Linked DNA regions of Sus scrofa. The protein of the gene in region 2 interacts with the protein of the main gene of each other region in a pairwise test. Links are inferred from orthologs where the notes say so. Each region holds a gene or a part of one and is shown on either strand. Other genes may lie near its edges. The genes, in order: FBLN5 and NUFIP2.

Evidence for each region.
Region 1: the proteins of NUFIP2 (region 2) and FBLN5 interact in binary tests that used the Homo sapiens proteins (3 or more experiments, as listed by UniProt). The link is inferred for Sus scrofa from reciprocal best matches to the Homo sapiens genes NUFIP2 and FBLN5.

The regions. Positions count from the first base shown.
Region 1 is NC_010449.5:113,432,238-113,436,057, forward strand, and holds part of FBLN5 (fibulin-5), read right to left. Parts: intron 1,232-3,820; coding exon 1,036-1,231; intron 1-1,035. UniProt on the Homo sapiens protein: Essential for elastic fiber formation, is involved in the assembly of continuous elastin (ELN) polymer and promotes the interaction of microfibrils and ELN. Stabilizes and organizes elastic fibers in the skin, lung and vasculature.
Region 2 is NC_010454.4:45,499,775-45,503,594, forward strand, and holds part of NUFIP2 (nuclear fragile X mental retardation-interacting protein 2), read right to left. Parts: intron 1,002-3,820; coding exon 1-1,001. UniProt on the Homo sapiens protein: Binds RNA.

The DNA.
Region 1 (3,820 bases), on a different chromosome or scaffold from region 2:
GGACTGTTCTGTTCACTGTTGTGTTCAGTTTCTAAAAGTCTACGGTAGGTACTTGATAAGAATTTATTGAATGAGTAGATGGATAAGTGGATATGTAAATGCCTCTCCCATAGAATTGCAGGAGGAATATGAATTAGAATATATATATATATATATATATATATATATATATATATATAACTGAATCACTATGCTGTACACCTGAAACTAACACAACATTGTAAATTAACTATACCTCCTGCTGTATAGCACTGGGAACTATATCTAGTCACTTACGATGGCGCGTGATGGAGGATAATGTGAGAAAAAGAATGTATATGTGTGACTGGGTCACTTTGCTATACAGTCGAAAATTGACAGAACATGGAGTTCCCGTCATGGCTCAGAGGTTAACAAACCCTACTAGTAACTATGAGGTTGTGGGTTCGATCCCTGGCCTCGCTCAGTGGGTTAAGGATCCGGCATTGCCGTGAGCTGTGGTGTAGGTCACAGACACAGCTCGGATCTGATGTTGCTGTGGCTGTGGTGTAGGCTGGCAGCTGTAGCTCCAGTTCACCTCTAGCCTGGGAACCTCCATATGCCACAGGTGTGGCCCTAAAAAAAAAAAGACAAAAGGCAAAAAAAAAGAAAGAAAGAAAGAAAGAAAAAGAAAATTGACAGAATGCCATAAACCAGCTACAATGGAAAAAATAAAAATCAGTTAAAATATATATATATTTATATTTTATATATATTTTATATTTTACTTTTCCATTAAAAAAATGGTTAAAAAAAATTGCAGGAGGAACGAGACCTACGATTGCATCTTGGTCTAATTTCTCAGGGCACAGTTGAGGGTCCTGAGGCTCACAGGGGAGAAGCAGCTTTCTCAAGGCCGCCGAGGAAGTGAAAGGAATGAGGATACAGGAATCCTGACTCCTCCCTTCACACCCGCCCCTCCCAGCTGCACTCTGGCCGATTTCTAGAAGCACAGCCGGGCGAGACAACAGAACGCGTTGTGAAAGACGGTGCCCAGCACTCACCCCCTCTTCTTACCCGCATATAGAATTCTCTGCCCTCATTCCCAGACTTGATCTGGAAAATGTAATAGGCCCCAGGGTAGCGGGTCGTCGCCTGCATTTGGAAGATGTCAGCAGGAACAGAGCGGCCCGACACCACATCCATATCCCGGTACAAGATGGTGAAGGGTTGGTCTCTGCAGCCAGGGTTTTCAGCGGGACACATACAGCGGCTGTTGGGAAGGGAAATCACGTGAGAACGCGGTCAATCCTCTCCAGATGCTGGCTGTACCTGCTTCCTCACTTAAAACACTGTACAGGAGGCCACCCCATTGTTATCATCCAGATGCCGTAACTGTAGAGGCTCTGGTCTAAAAACTCCCCAGCATGTGGCTGAGCTCTCCGTTTCCTGGAGAACGGCCTATTCTGGCCAATCAGATATTCTTAACACTGGACTGCAAACCTGAGATGTCTGGTCTCCAGAACACTGGGACACTGGCGTTCCCTTCGTGGCGCAGCAGAAATGAATCCGACTAGGAACCAGAACACGGGGACACTCGCTAATGCACTTTACCTGTGTCGCATATTTTGTTGGCAAAATGTGCTGTGTAGCCCTTCACTTCCCCAGCCATACATACTCATTAAGAAATCCTAAAAGTGAGAAATTACATTACACTGACAGGTCTTAAGTGGGTTTTTTGTTTGTTTGTTTTTGTTTTTGTTTTGTATTTTCTATTGCACTTACCCCAATCTATATGGAATATAATTTCATATTTTCTTTCTCTAAATCAGCACTCAGAGCTCACTCTGTATAACATACAACATCAGGACACGACTTGAAGGTGTTAAGACATCAATTGCAATGATAAAGCGGATCCTGACCTTAACTAGGTCCCTCTCTAATTGGAGAAATACATCATAGACACAAATATCTCTAATACAAAGCATCTCCTTTGAAACACTAGTAATAGCATCGCCATCGTATGAAATGGACTCATTACCAAGGGATGCTTATTTTAGACCCCCCTTGACTCAACCCTAACCACCCCCCATCTCTCACCTCACTTCCAAGACTTCCGCCCCAGGTCAGAGTGGAAAACAGGATAAGAATATCTGCTGATCTACGTCTTAGTGGCCACAACTGAGAGTAAACCTTGCTGTGCTTCCATCTCTCTCCCCTAACTTCCAATCTACCTTCAAAACCTACCAGTTCTACCATTTGCCGCAACATGAACAGACCTAGCGATTATCATACTAAGTGAAGGACGTTAGACAAAGACAAATATCATATGATATCACTTATATATGGAATCTAATTTTAAAATGACACAAGTGAACTTATTTATAAAACAGAAACAGGCCAAGGGGGAGTGGGGAGGGACTGGGATGGAGTTTGGGCTTGGTAGATACAAACTATTACATTTAGAATGGATAAGCGAGGAAGTCCTGCTGTATATAGCACAGGGAACTCTACTCAATATTCTGGAATAACCTATATGGGAAAAGAATCTGAAAAAGAATGGACGTGTGTATCTGTATAACGTTGTACAAACCCAACGTTGTAAAGCAGATATACTCCAATTAAACAAAAAAAATAGCCAAGATGCCCACCCCCCCAAACCAAAACAAAACTATCAGTTCTACTTCTAAAACGCTGTCCAAATCCAAGCACTCCAACTCCACCATCGCCACGCTCCTGTCTCACCTGGACCTCTGTGACGGGCTCCGGTGATGGAGTGGAGGGCTCTCCCACAGCTACCTGGGTCAGAGGGCCCTTTGTCAGACATAAAGCGGATTGCGTCTCTATCCATCCTGCTTGAAGGTTCTACACTGGCCCCTATCTTGAATAAAAACTAAACACCCACTTTAGCCTCTAAAACCTCCTGGGGTCTGGTCTCTGCCTGTTTCTCGAACCTCGTCTCAGACACTGTCCACATGATTCACTAGATGGTAGCCCCTTCCAGTCCCTGCAGACGTCAAGGTCATGGCTGCCTCAGAGTCTTTGCATATGCTGTTCCCTTTGCTCTTCCACCCTCTGTTAAGCTAACATTGGCTCATCTTCCCACTGAAGCCCCAATGTCAGTTCCCCAGAGGGGCTTTCGGACTCCCCAGGCTAGACCAGGTCCAGGCTGCTCTTTCTCTTTGTCCATTTCTGTTCTTCCTATTCATAGCCACCTATCACCATCTATGATCACAGATTCATCCCCATGACAATTCATTTAGCATCTTTCTCCTCCACTAGCATAAGAGCAAACACCACAGTACCTGGCACCACGTCTGGCACGGAATAGGAATTTGACTAACACTTAATAAATGAATGTATCAAAAGAATTTCTTCAGTTTTGTTTTTTAAGGCTCTATTGAAATGGTCAAGTCAAAATGACCCAGGGGACAAGATGGCCACATGAAAGTGTCAGGTGTTAGAGTTCCCACTACAGTGCGGCGGGATTGGCAGCATCTCTGGAGCACTGGGATGCAGGTGCGATCCCCAGCCCGGCCCAGTGGGTTAAGGATCCAGCATTTCAGCTCAGACCAGATCCCTGAACTGAGAACACCATGTGCTGCAGGGCAGTCAAAAAAAAAAAAAAAAAAAAAAAAAAAACCAAAAAAAAAGTTGGGTGTCACACAGAAAATAGCTGTTTCCTAAAAGAAGTCTGGAGGAGGAAGCGATGTCTCCAGCTAAAGAGGATCGCTGCAAAGCCCTGGGAGAGGGGGCATCGGAGCTCAGATCTGAAAGACAAGGCAGGTCTACCCATGTGGCAATGGCAGGAATGCCTTCCACATAGAAAATGTGGGCACGCAAACCAGGAGGCTGGACGTTC
Region 2 (3,820 bases):
ATCAGTCCCTGCTAAAACTGGCCCATTAGAAAAGTTGGCCGAAGTAACAGATTTCAGCGCTGACATAGGGACCTGGGATAATCGACTTGAAGGTTGGGTCTGAGTTTCCCCAGCTGATGACGAAGAAGATGAAGATGAAGATGAAGATGGTGACACGGAAGAGTTCTGTACAGTTTTGTTGAGGTTTTCCTTAACTTTGCTTGCATAACTTATTTTAGGAACTATTTTAGCACTGCTATTGTCCACTGGAAAAACTGGGGGTGGTTTAAATAGGGTCCACGAGTCCTCTTTGGAGGCAACAGCAGAAGTATGCTTTCCTTTGGGCCGATCATCAAACTTTTTGCTGCTCACACCAGGTTTAGTATCAGAGCTTTTCCTCAGCATATCACCCATAGCAGGTTTTCCTCGACTTGTTCCTCCAGGCCCAGTTTCATACTTCCAAATGGGCTTTGAACCATCTACTCGATTTCCCTTTTGTTCACTGTAGTCAGGCTTGAAAGTTTCAAGTCCCTGTTTTAAGGTTGGGACATTGGTCTCTTGTTGCATTATTTTGTCCTGCACTAAATTAAGGTTTTCACAACCCTTGGCACTATTGCGCCTAGCTTTCCTTTTTTTAGGAGTGGTATATCCGCTCTCAGATCCACTACCATCATTATCTGCTCCTTTGCCCATATAACCATTAGTAATATAGCCAGAATTATTTGTTACAACACCATTTGGAATTGCTACAGCATCAGTCTTGTCTACAGATTGGTTCTCTCCAGATTTATTTTCATAAGACTTTCCATTCTTTTTGTCCATACTGTTTTTCTGAATGAAATTCCTGGTTTTAATTCCTGCTTTCCCAAAGGTGCTGGACCTTACAGTCTGCTTCAGGTTAGTGTCTACAACTTGTTGGTTGCCATTGAGTACCCTGGAAATAGGGTTGGTAGCTTCATCAGAACCCAGGCTCTTTAAAGAAATTTCTCTTTCTCCAGCATTACCATTTAGTTCACCATAGCCTAGAGAGGGGGGGAAAAAAAGGTTTTTAAAGAATTATAATATGTAAATTACAATAGTACCTAACATTTAGTATGTGCTAGACACTATGCTTTGAGCTTCAGCTTTATATGTCATTATTTCATAATTCTATGAGAAGACACTTGTCAGCTCCATTTCACAGATGAGGACGTTTACTAATAAGCAAGAGACAAAACACAGGTGGGAATCAAACCCGAGTCCCAGATCAGAAAGAACATGACCGCTTAAGCATAATACCTCTCGCCGAACAGGATCAACCTTCTCATTCTTATAAGGCTGCTATAAAATTTCCTTTACAGGAGTTCCCGTCGTGGCGCAGTGGTTAACGAATCCGACTAGGAACCATGAGGTTGCGGGTTCGGTCCCTGCCCTTGCTCAGTGGGTTAACGATCCGGCGTTGCCGTGAGCTGTGGTGTAGGTTGCAGACGCAGCTCGGATCCGCGTTGCTGTGGCCCTGGCGTAGGCCGGTGGCTACAGCTCCGATTCGACCCCTAGCCTGGGAACCTCCATATGCCGCGGGAGCGGCCCAAGAAATAGCAACAACGACAAAAAGACAAAAAATAAATAAATAAATAAAAAATTAAAAAAAAAAATTTTCCTTTACAATTAAGAGCAAAGTCAGATCATATTGATAAAATCTAAGTACTAGAAGTTTCCATTTCTACCGAACCATAAATGGCTGATGGTTACCATAGGCAGTTCCTATTGCATTCTGTCAAACAAAAATCTAACACTTATGAATTTTTTCAAAAGTGGTCTTAAATTCCTCAACACTTCCCAGACGTTAGATTATACTGTTACTGTATGAAACCAAAACACCTAGGGCACTAACTCTTACAAGATATATTTTCATTTTACATTTGGGTGAACACTCTCACAGAAATTAAGTAACTTGCCCAAGACACAAAGTAGACCTAGAAAGCTGAACTCCAGTCTATCTGGAACATGGTTTCCTATCACCATGTGGTATTTCCTATCACAGTGCTTAACCAAGTAATATAGTAAGGAAATACTAACAAAACTACAATGAAAGTTATCTAATTTTAAAAAGTGTTACGGTATTCAAGTTTAAGAACTTCTATCATCATAAACTGTGATTATTACTATATGTGATTCAACTAGGTAATCTGCCTTTGTCACTTTCATTCATTCTCTTGGGCCTTTAGCTTGTGAAGGCTAAAAGGCACATGAACTTCTAATGTATTCTTGTTTTGAAATTTTGTTGTTTTAATTTCCAATACGGTAAAAATATCAATACACATAAAGCTGTATACTTCAAGAGTACAAGGACACTAAGATTTTTTTAAGATTGAGAACAATTGTTTTTAAAGGAACTTGATGTGAAATAGAACACTCTGAGAACATTCACAAGTGTTTATTCACCATAGTTTTAAGCCATTCTGCATCAGAGAAATGAGCAAATTATATTAACTTTGAGGCAATAACACAACAAAACATACTTAAGGTATAATCATTCCTGAAACAGAGTGGCACAGAACTTGTTCCATGAAGGAATATATTTCATAAAAGTTAACTTCAGTAGAGTTACATTTTATTTTTTTGACTGGCTAAAAAAGCTATGATAGCCAATCATATCAAACATTTTTTTTTGTCTTTTTAGGGCCAAACCCACAGCATATGGGAGTTCCCAGGCTAGGGGTGGAATTGGAGCTGTAGCTGCCAGCCTAAGCCACAGCCATACCAGATCTGAGTTAGTTCGAGGTATTGCCAGATTCTTTTTTTTTTTTTTTTTTTTTTGTCTTTTTGCTATTTCTTGGGCCGCTCCCTCGGCATATGGAGGTTCCCAGGCTAGGGGTTGAATCGGAGCTGGAGTCACCGGCCTACGCCAGAGCCACAGCAACGCGGGGTCCGAGCCGCGTCTGCAACCTACAGCACAGCTCACAGCAACGCCGGATCGTTCACCCACCGAGCAAGGGCAGGGACCGAACCCGCAACCTCATGGTTACTAGTCGGATTCGTTAACCATGCGCCACGATGGGAACTCCTATTGCCAGATTCTTAACCCAATAAGCAAGGCCAGGGATGGAACCCGCCTCTTCATGGATACCAGTTGTGTTCATTACCCCCGAACCATGATGGGCACTCTTTTTTTTTTTTTTTGTTATATCAAACTTTCGGTGAAATAATTTTAACTATGAAACAGAGATCACTGGGATATTTTCTAAAAGGTTCTTTCTTCTTTTTAGATAAGCAGAAATTTCAGAGATACACAACTTTTTTTAAAAATTTTTTTTAGAACTGCACCCATGGCATATGGAAGTTCCCAGGCTAGGAGTCAAATCGGAGTTGCCAGCTTACACCACAGTTCACAGCAAGGCCGGATCCTTAACCCACTGAGCAAGGCCAGGGATCGAACCTGTGTCCTCATGGATACTAGTCAGGTTCTTTTCCGCTGAGCCAGGGACAGGAACTCGAAGATACTCAACATTTTTAACAGATATATATTACTCATGTACAGCTTTAAGCCAAAAAGAACAACTATATATACCTCTTAACATGCTGACAGGCTAAACAAACGTTTGGACCTGTAGGCCAATTTAGTCATAACTTTTCAGGCTTCAACGATAAGCAGTCTTAAACACCAAAATAAAGAACTAATCCAAGGTCCAAACCAAACTGGACCAAAGCCAGGCCTTTTAAATTAACTAGAATAATTTTTCCTATTTGGTGGGAAACCAGAAATTTATAAAACCACCCAGAAGCCACTATATTTTCACCACAAAGTTTTAATTACAAAAAGCATTTCTAATTTAACTATATAAAAATTTTCCATGGCAAC